2 linked regions of the Saccharomyces cerevisiae S288C genome follow. The gene in region 2 interacts genetically with the main gene of each other region. Each region holds a gene or a part of one and is shown on either strand. Other genes may lie near its edges.

What was found. A genetic interaction does not mean that the proteins touch.
Region 1: of YFT2 (region 2) and SEI1, changing one enhances a phenotype caused by changing the other (phenotypic enhancement), as found in Saccharomyces cerevisiae (one study listed by BioGRID).

Annotation. Positions count from the first base shown.
Region 1 is NC_001144.5:925,167-930,342, reverse strand, and holds SEI1 (seipin), read right to left. Parts: upstream 1,601-5,176; coding exon 743-1,600; downstream 1-742. Other genes in the region: DUS4 (tRNA dihydrouridine synthase), read right to left, coding at 1-554; zinc-coordinating transcription factor SFP1, read right to left, coding at 2,724-4,775. UniProt on the Saccharomyces cerevisiae protein: Involved in lipid metabolism and lipid droplet (LD) morphology, number, and size. Facilitates initiation of LD formation, and ensures that vectorial budding of LDs from the ER is directed towards the cytoplasm.
Region 2 is NC_001136.10:1,103,381-1,109,204, forward strand, and holds YFT2 (Yft2p), read right to left. Parts: upstream 2,448-5,824; coding exon 1,623-2,447; downstream 1-1,622. Other genes in the region: HIM1 (Him1p), read left to right, coding at 1-48; MCM21 (Mcm21p), read left to right, coding at 378-429, 513-1,567; auxilin-like protein SWA2, read right to left, coding at 2,715-4,721; DAD4 (Dad4p), read right to left, coding at 4,900-5,118; asparaginase ASP1, read left to right, coding at 5,322-5,824. UniProt on the Saccharomyces cerevisiae protein: Fatty acyl-coenzyme A (CoA) diphosphatase that hydrolyzes fatty acyl-CoA to yield acyl-4'-phosphopantetheine and adenosine 3',5'-bisphosphate. Preferentially hydrolyzes unsaturated long-chain acyl-CoA substrates in the endoplasmic reticulum (ER) lumen.

The sequences.
Region 1 (5,176 bases), on a different chromosome or scaffold from region 2:
TTTCTACATAACTCCACCGTCTCGTCCAATGCCTCATGTATTCTTATTTTCGTTTCAATTCTTAGTTTGTCGCCATACTTATCTTTCACAGCATGGACCATACTGCATAACAAATCTGAATTGTATATCAGAGCGCAACCTATGCCCTCTCGGATTTGTTCCTTTATAGGACAACCACAGTTAATACCAATACCATCACAGTATGGGGCAACCATTTCCACAAATTTTAGTAAATCAGCCACGTTATTTACACCTACTTGGACGATTAGCGGGGTGTCCTCATTATTTGTAGAAAGGTCTGAGATTCTTGCATGCTCATTACGGACATATTCTCTTGCCAAAATCATGGGGGAGTAAACTATATCAACGTTATATTCTCGGCACAACTGACGGAATGGTAACTTGGAATACCGAACCATTGGGCCTGCAATGGTCACGGGCCGACCATGTGTCTTTTGCCTCGTCTTTATTATATGCAGTGGATCTGTTTCTTCAGTAATAAGCTTCGGCTTCGGTATCAGAACATCACCGGATGGAATATGCATTGTGTGCATTTTCTTTAGAATCTTTATTCTGCATATGAATTATAACTTTGAAGAATCCATCTCTTATTTTCATTTTGAGTTTTTTCGCTGATCATCTTTTTTTTATTCAGGGCGAAGAAGCAGAATGCTGGAAGAGCCTACTTACTTAGAAAATAACAGCTAGGTTTTAAAATTATATAGCGAGAAGTACAATTCTATCAGCTATGTTTCTTGGATTTTTCCTGACCCTTTCTAACAAAAATGAATGCAGTGCAACCTGTGATAAAAAAAAGTACACATATTATGCAATGGAAAATTGAAATGCCAATAATATAAGATAAAAATCTTTTTCGAAGCATCAAGTTTCTTAATCCCTGCTCAAAATTCATCCTAAACTTAATCCCACTTTCTGGATGTATTATTAGATTTCTTTGGGCAATCTCCGTTTTCAAGAACACCGAGATTGTTTCATATGAAGACTCTAACGATATTTTGTCCTCTATTCTTATTGTATTTAGCCATTCTTCATCGTAAACGTCTAGACGTGATGGGCCTAGTTGTTCGATCTCCTGAGGCGACATGGAATCCGTCAGTGCGAGGCAGACAATAGGTCTAGAAGTGTGAAAGATTTTTTCATCTTTGCTGTTACTTCCTCCAGGAGCACCCAATAGCGGGCCTGGACCTCTGTAAACATCAATTAACAAATTGTCTAAATTTAAATGGTCAGTTTTGCTCTGGCAATAAAGCTGTAGGTTTAGATCGAGCTTGTATTCCATGTTGTCACGCATGGGGATTAACTGTGATAAGCCATTGTCTATTGTTTGCGGCAGATCTGTACCTACCGGAATGCTTTTAATAGATTGGAAGAATTTTGTACCAAATTGTACGCCATTTAAAATGTTGAACGTATTAAGGGGGACTACGTTAGAGGAATCGGCAGGTAATAGTCTTAGGTAAAAATCGTGATATATTAAGATCGATAAAGGAAGAATGATTAGCAATTGTATCAGAAATGCAACAACAATATATGAACTCCATTGTAAAAACTGTAATGGACGGGATACATTGATTTTCATCCTTCCTATTCACTTTATCTTATTTTCTTGAAACCTTGGATTCACATTTTGATAATTTGCCGTAAGCTGTCTCTATTTTTCTGTCTTACGCGCATTTATATTTTTAATAACCTTACGTTGAGATTTTCAAATTATACACATAGTAGCAACTAATGATGAGGTAGTTATACTTAACTTTCAAAAGAGCGACTCTAGTATTAGATGAACAATTAGGTTGCTTTATATGGATGACGAAAAGTCTTATTTACAAAATAACTCTCAATAAATGTTTCTTGACCATATGGCTTGGTGTTGTCAACTTTCTAGATAATACTTATCAGCGTGATTGGATTGTAGGTTTGGGAGGAAGGTTGCTTTTTAAGTTACTTATAGTATATTATTATTGATATTGAATTAATTTACTTTCATAAGTGTATAAAATAAAAGTTCAACATTACTAACAAAACTATAATATTTTCTCAACCAATTATTAACCTGTGATAGTTGCGCTGTAATTCCAGTCTAATTAATATGCTTCGTAAGATTAATTGTAATATTTAAGTAATCTTTTAATGGTTCAATAAGATAGTTTCTGCCTAGAAAAACGATCCGACAACGTGCATGGTAATTCACTTACAAATACACAGAATTGCAGATAAAAAACGGAACCTTTTATTTAAGATTTAGAGCATGAATAAGAAGAATTAAAGTTTCTTTTCTTAGAATAAAAATAGTTTTTAATACATCAGAACAGAAGGAAGTAAGTAAAGCCAAAATATATATAGTAAAAACACAGTAGTAAAAAATGAATAGTAAAAAACACACAACAATAATACTAAAAGGAGAGACCAGACAGAGCGCAAATCGTTTTCATGACGGAGTATTTAGAGGAAATGATGACAAAACAAGAAAATGTTATTCTATTATAAGTTCATTTTTCAATAATAGATATGCTTTTTATTTTTTGAAATTAATGGTAACAGTCGAAGAGCACAGCTTTATCATGCATTTTCGTTCAAAGATGATCACATAAATTGCGCCCAACAACAAGAGAAAGAGCGGCCGCTCGATGCATGAGTCGGTAACGGTAGAATTAGTATCTAAATAGCATACTAAATCAATTCAGTAAAGAAACAATTATATCTTAGTGAGTGGAGTGGCCCCTGTGATATTTTAAACCGTTCAAGTTCTTATATCTCTTACCACAAACTTCACAACGGTATGGTTTATCCTTTGCAGAGCCCATTCCATCACCAAAAGAATCTGTCGAATCTGGATCTATTACGCTAAATGTACCGTCAGGGTTTTCATGTAATTTTTGATTCTGATGTCCGTGCAACCTATGGTACTTCAAACCGTTTTGGTTTTTATAAGTCTTTTCACAACCAATAACTGGACACTTAAAGGGTTTTTGTTCCTCATGATCCATTACATAGAGCCTTCTCGCAGGATCGTCTATATAAGCTTGCTGAGGCATCTTGTAATTGTTGTTATGAACTGATTTTCCATTGGAACTGGAGCCATTTTCTGTGTCATCGTCATCGTCATCGTCATCGTCATCATCAACATCATCGTCATCATCAATGTCATCAATGTCTTGATCCTCGACCATGTTTTGAGAAGATTTTGCGTGTACGGAAGAATGAAAAGTATTGTAGTTGTGAGAACCTGTAGTTGGATTTACGACAGAGTTCATGGAATTGTGGTTACTAGGGCCCAAAATATCATCATCCATAAAACTTAAATCTATATCTTGGACAAGTACCAGAGGTGATAAATCGGTTTGATGAGGATCAATTTTTCTTGATTGATGTTGAATAGGATTCCTGGACGTTTTGTTCAAGGAATAGTTATTAAAAGTATGTGGACGATTCACCATGGCGTTTTTACTACCCATGTTAATATTAGAATTGTGTGAGGTATTATTATTGATATTGATACCACTATTATTGTTACTGTTAATTTGTTTATTGTGCGGAACGTGTCTTGATGGAGAATTGCTCGTTCTTAAAAACACATCATTCGTTGAAACGGCATCGACTAGATTACCATTCAGATGTAGTTGTTGAGAGTGATTAGCCATAGATAAGCCCGAGTTGGGGGCACCCGTTATAGATATCACATTTGGATTTGCAGTTGTGGACGACGCAGTTGCTGAACCCATTACACTCGGTGTGGGTACAGCCCCTGATGTATGATTTACAGAATTCGATTGCAACTGTTGTTGTATTATATTCTGCTGATGGTGAGGATGCTGAGATTGTCGTATTGTGGAGTTGGAATCCATGTTGCTCTGAAGATTGGCATGCATATTATTAATGGAGGTGTTATTAGTTGCATTGCTGCTATGAGCCTGCATAGTATTAGTCTTATGACCTGCATTTTTTGTATTAGCGGCCATGTTATTCTGCAGGTTATAGTTGGCAGAAGAGGTATTATTTGTCATACGAACTGATGAACTAGTGTTACCAGCAGAGTTCATCGGTATTTGTGACATATTGGTAGTGTTAGGAGACGTGGATATATGAGCTTCTTCGTAATGTCTCAGCAAATCATGCAAACCTGGTAAGGAAAGACCACAGCATGAATAATCTTTACAATATTGCTTTTCTAGATTTGGCAGATAAGCAGTGTAGGCTATCTGAGGAGAAATAGAATACCCTCTATGGTAAGGCGGATTACTAACAGAGGGTCTCTTAGTTGGTTGTTGAATCTGCAAAGTATTAGTGGCAGTAGTGGTTGCAGAAGCGGCAGCGGAGGCAGCACCGTTTGCTGATGCAGGTACAATACTATTTCTACGGCTAATAATTTCATCTCTTAACCAAGAACCAACACTAATGGATCCCCATGAAACACCACCCATCCCTTGAGAATGGGCTATTGATTCTCTCCGTAACTTGGCAATGTCCTGTGGAGTTAGTAGCGTTTGGTCCATTATATTTGGAGAGTACAAATGAACATTATTTGTATTATTCATGATATTTTTTTGGTGAATATTATTGACGCCGTTAAAATCTGTGTTTTTTCCATTAGAAGAATCCGAATTGTTATTTATCAAAATGGAAGGAGTATTCTGGTTCGAATCAATATCAATATTAAAGTTTGATGACGAATTTATAGATGCATGTGCCGATGTAGCCGTCGTAGTAGTACTAGTAGCCATATTGCTTGCCATAGTCATTGTTGTAAAATCCATACTCAGATAAGCTTTTCCTGTTTCGAAGAAAAATAAAAATACTGAATATGAATATGTCTTTTAATAACAATAAATTTGAAAACGCCTTACAAGTGAAATCTTGAGGTGATTAATAGTAGGTGAATCCAGAGAAAGTGTTTCGAGGATATAATATGGTATCAGAAAGCCAAAAGACGACCGGTATATTATAAACTTAGTATGAATGTATCGTGGCGCTTTTTTCTCCTAGCTTTATTCTTCTTGCTTTCTCGCTCTAAATATGATATTGCGATAAAAGGAAGTAGTTTAACTCACCGTAAAATCGATCAATATTAGAAAAACAGAAAACCACCAGAGAGAAGCACCGATATGTAATTGAAGTAGAAAAAAAATCTAGCTTTCCTTCTCTTTATAAGCGAACT
Region 2 (5,824 bases):
CCTAAGCTGGAAGTAATTAGCAGTTATCAAATTGATATGATTGTGTGAACAGTCAGTCTTTTCTTTTGATAGATGCGAAGTTATTAAATAAATAGTAGCCTAATACATAAAAGAACCACTATATCATGGATTCGATACCTGGGCCGTCTTAAATTTTTATCGCATTGAATATGCAAACTTTATGTATTGTTTTACTAATCGCCAGTAATGGCCGACCAATTCTATGATAGATCTTCCCTAAGTTTATAATGATGGTAAGAAAACGCGCATATTTCAAAACTGAAGAAAAAACAAACAAAAGCCATATGGATAATGAGGGGAAAATGTGATTTCTTTACTTGAGCAATTCTTTCAAACTATCAGTAACGCTCCTGGCAATGAGTAGAATCGATGATTTACAGCAGGACATTGAATCTTTACTCAGTGAAAGTATGTGATTTTGAGGCTGTAACAATTTTCTTTCTTTTAAAAAAATGATTAAGTTGAACACTAACATAGTAGAATCTTCACAGTCAATTCATTAGAAGAAAGTCGTGAGAAGCTCAAAGCGAAGATAAAAGATAAAAGAAAAAATGAGGAGAGCGCTAATCCTATAGTACAAGAATTTGAAGATCTATTCGATCAATTCCCACAGTTGAATAATTTTTTATTTAATGAGCATCCAGAATTGGAAGAGACAGATGACAAGGACATATCAAGGGCGCAAGCGGATATACCAGCAACGCCAATACCGTATGAACCAAAGAAAAGAGCTAAGCTGGAGAATGAGGAAATTTTACCAGAACAAGAATGGGTTTTAAAGACCCAGCCAATGGTTCAGCATCAAATGTTTGATCCTGGGGTGGCAGATTTATTGGATACAGACATTCTAACGTCACCTTCAAAAAGAAAGCGAAAACTAAAAATAGACGATATTAGTACAAGTGATAGAAGTGAGTTGGAAGATTATATTGTCCTGGAAAATGTTTATAGAATGTTTGGTATAACATTTTTCCCTCTTGTGGACCCTATTGACCTTAAGATAAAAGATGCTAGCGGTGAAATATTTGTTGATAGAGAAATGCTGGGAATACGACTGGAAGTCTTCAGCGAACGGACATCCCAATTTGAAAAACCTCACTATGTATTGTTGAAAAAGAGGATCAAATCGAATAGTTGGTTCCTGTTCAAGCATACAATCCCGAGTTTCATTGATGTCCAAGGTATATTTGATGACACCAATGGGGGACTAGTGATATCTCATGATGACGCCTATTTATTTGCTAAAAGAGTCTTCCTGCAACTTGTGGAAGTACAGAAAAGACGACAGATTTTTAAGGACTTAGAAGCTAAGAAGATAATCCACGACTTAGATTTAGATTTAGAATCTTCAATGGTTTCGTTTTTTGTGAAGGATATTAAAGTCGAGTTGTTTGTAAAACAAAATGAAATAGTTTCATGTTCAATATTGGACGATATTCATGATTTTAGTCAAAATAATAAAAGTAAATGGGAAATTGCATTGCTCGGTTCTTTGGATGATTTGGAATTAAAATTAAACCATTCTTTCGCGACAATATTCAAGTGAATGTTAACAAAAATATACTTTATAGAAAGAGGATAGAGCTAATTTTCTCTGTTTATCATAGATATAAGTAATTGTGTAGTATCCCAATTTTGGGTAGAATGTGGTATATGAAAACAGGGCATATGAAACCCATAAGGCAACCTAACACTTTTTCCAAGATAGTATGATAATAAATAGCGGTAACCCAGAGAATACATATCCAAATTACTAGGACAGCGCAAACAATGGCAAGGCAAGCTCGTACCCACTTATTCACAACCCAAAACATATCTTCAGCTTGAACAAATCTACTGAATAAGTGAAGTTCCATCCAAAGAATCATGCTTATACTCACAAGAAAGCAGAAGTGTCCACTAATGTCAAACCCACCATCCCATTTCCCATTTTCTAGACGGCACTTTTCAGCTGATGTCGTTTTACTACCAGAACTGCATTCTCCCCCTGTCCAAATGAAAACATGATCGATAAATTGGAAATTCAAAAACAATAATAGATATTTTAGAACGAACTTGCAAGCATATTGAGTGATCATAATACTGATTATTCTATTTTTGAGCAGAGGCCAATGGTTAGTATATGTTAAATAGGAAGAGCTAGTTTCGGTACTTGATATTGGTAAAGGCAATATATCCATTCTTGCTAGATAGTGGAAGTATATTTGCAGAAAAGCCAAACTAAAGAATAAAAATGGCCACAGTTGGTTCGCTTTGTATGCAAAAATAACATTGAAAATATTGGACGATTTCAATAGAGCGCATGTCTCTTTTTGATGGTTTAATGTTTCTGAAGATACTACTATTGATAATAATGCGCCTACAAAAACTTGAAAGGGGTAAATGAGATACGCCTTCCTTGACCAATAATTGAGCTGACGTATCATAATCTTTTTCAATTTTTAGTCGTTCAGTGGTTTTAATACAATGCCCTATTTCTATTGTGTTTTAACATTGTGATATTTTGAATTTTTTTTTTTTTTTTGCAGATTGTTTTTCATATTAATCAAATTGGGTGCCACTTGTAAGTCAATAAATGAAACTAAGCCTTTCCATACTTTTTCCTAACGCGCTTTGAAGAATTTGTTTTCCTATATATATTTGTATAAAGTACATATCAAAAACAACTGAGCGAAGCAGGCACACAAGGGAAATCAGTTAATGTCATTCTGCAGTTTGAACTTATCCCAAGCAATACTTAAAGTACTGAAAATATTCTCTGCAATCATCTTATTTTCCAGGGACAAGGACTCTGGTATCTTATCAGGATGTGTCTTGGCTACAGCTTTCATGTATGTAATTTTGACCCTCTTAGGCATAACCAAATCTTGCATAGAGACATCCTTCCAATTGCACCATGTTAGTAAGCTGGATAAATTTGCTAACAGATGACGAATGTCATCGTCTTTGCCATCCTTCCAGGAGCTAATTTTCTCAAATACTTTATCATATAGCGCCAGTTTAGCGTTTTCTAGCTCCCGTTTTTTTATTTCTGAAGTGCTATCAACAGAAATTGGAGAATTTGAAGAAGAAGCGGTTAAGTTCTGTTTTTTTGTTGCAGGCGAGGTTGTCGTTGTCTTCTTCTTAACGGGCATGGATTTTTTAACAGGGGGAGGATTAATAAAGTCTTGGCATCTTCTTTTTCCCTGCATGATTTTATCATCAAAAAAATTCTTCTTAATCAGCTCTTGGTATGTTTCTAGTGCTTTTTTGAAACTTTCTAAATGTTCAAAAGACTCAGCACGCCTAATCATAATCTTTGGCCAGATGTCGTTAAATGATCTTTCAGGGTCACTATTTGAGATTTTATTCTTCCACTTAGCTTTGCTTGATGGGAATAATTCCAAAGCCATGCTGGAGTTTTCTATGGACTTAGAGTACTCACCGATTTTCAGTTGCGAGGCAATAATGTTTGATAATGCAATGATCCTCAATGGATGATTTAAAGGCAATGTATTTAAAGACTTTTCATATTCTTGTAATGAGTTAATATAATCCCCGTTCTTGAACAAACTAGTACCTTTCGCCTTAAATTCGTTATACCCCGATAATTCAATATCTGAGATGGGTATTGTAGAGTCAGTGTTGCTGTTTTCATTGAAGAGGGTGCTATCTTCATTGCTTTTACTATTGGTGAGATTTCCTTCTGAAAAGTCGAGAAGACTATCCTCTATCAGGGGCTCATTTCTTCGCGAATTTTCTTCAATTAGTATACCAGAAGTCGGTGAGGAGGAGTGGGAGACATCAGGCGCTGTCCTCTTTGTTATATCAATCTTTGTTTCGAAATCAGTTAAAAGATCTTGATCCGGATTATCGGCAGGTGGTAAGTTCTCTACGACTTCATTATCTTCAAACAAAATTCTATTGGGTGAGTCGTTTACTTGAGGCAAATCATAATCCTCAACCTTATCATGAGTTTTTGAGTAATTATTCAGTCTATCATTTGCCTCAGGTGGGAAGGAGGTCCATTGGTCTACCAGTTTCTTACCCTTATTGAAAAAATCAGTGGCCATGCTGAATAAATTATTGCTATCTGTACCAACAATGTTGGATAATCCTGACTTTTCCATTTTTATACCACTTTCTTTCTTTCTTATAGCTAGATCGTTGCGCTCCTTTTGCTTTGACTTTAAAATCTCCAAATATCTTTCATAAGTTACGTCATTTTCGTAAAACTCAGTGGCTTCTTCAATTGATAAACCTAGAGACATCAATCTTGCTATTTCCATATCCTTAACTTCATCAACTAAGGCGTCATCACCATTGTAAAGGTGGTCTTCCTTGCTTCCATAGTAATCCTCATCCGGTTTTTGGATCGTATCCGTTGTAGTTACTGTGCCCATACCAAATAGTTGATTGAAGTCGTCATCGGTATTGGCAAGAGCCGAGGGAGGTGTGTTGTTGGCAGTATTAGATTTAGTGGTGCTATTAGTTGGGACCAAAGGAGGTGCAGAAAAATCTACCTTCGGTGACGGTATCAGCGGAGGAGCTGAAATTGAATGCAGACTATCATTGGGGCTTTTATCCGTCCTTGCAACATCTGCAACAGCGGAACCAGTAATGGAAGGCGAATTGCTGCTCTGAGGAGTTGTTTCCTTGGATGCAGATGCAGAGTCCTTATTCTTCAAAGAAGTCAGTAAATGTGCAAATGGATCTGACATTGATGTTGACTGTTTCTTGCAGGCTGCGTCCTTTCCAGAAGCACAGGAATAGGTTAAGCGATGTGCTGTTATTTTTTTCTCCTTTTCGCAGGAAACAGTGATCTTAAATGAATATATTAGAAACGGTATAGCATATATATATGTGTATATGAGTATGCGTATATAGAAAATTGGTGAATTAAAGAGGTGGCTTCTTGTTATTGGTCGCTTCCAGGTTGAATTGGACGCTACTATGGTAGTTATCACAAATTGCGCCCATGATTTCTAGATTTTTGTTCCGATTATTAATGGTCACAAGCTCCTGGTTAAGAATTGCCACGCTCTCATTGAGCCTTTTGACATTACCAATTATTCGCGAAAGTATGTTAGCCTGCACTTGTTCATGAGGGTTCTCCATGTTATGCTTTCTTTCCTAAACTCACTTCTTTTCCTCCCTATCTGCTTTTGTTTATTACAGTTGAAGGCTACTTGTGCCGTTCGTGTGAAAAAATACTCGATGAAAAAAAAAAAAAAAAGATGATGACGATGACTTTGTTGAAGAAATGTGTTTGAAGACAGTGGAGGATAACAGCACTCTCATCGCACTTTTGGAAGCGTATCATGAAAAGCGATTCAGTTGAAATCACTACCATCTGCCCAGATGTTGAAAATTCTCAGTTTGTTGTGCAAAGCAACTGTCCAGAGACTATTCCAGAGATTCTAAAGTCTCAAAATGCCGCTGTGAATGGCAGCGGCATCGCTTGCCAACAACGTAGCTTACCAAGAATCAAAATCTTGGGTACCGGTGGTACTATTGCATCGAAAGCTATAGACTCCTCTCAAACTGCCGGCTATCATGTTGACCTGACCATCCAAGATCTATTGGATGCCATTCCAGATATATCCAAGGTCTGTGACATTGAATATGAGCAACTATGCAACGTGGATTCTAAAGACATAAACGAGGATATTCTTTATAAAATTTATAAGGGCGTCTCAGAATCGTTGCAGGCTTTTGACGGTATAGTTATTACCCATGGGACTGATACGCTATCTGAAACTGCATTCTTTATTGAAAGTACTATTGATGCTGGCGACGTTCCTATTGTTTTTGTTGGTTCGAT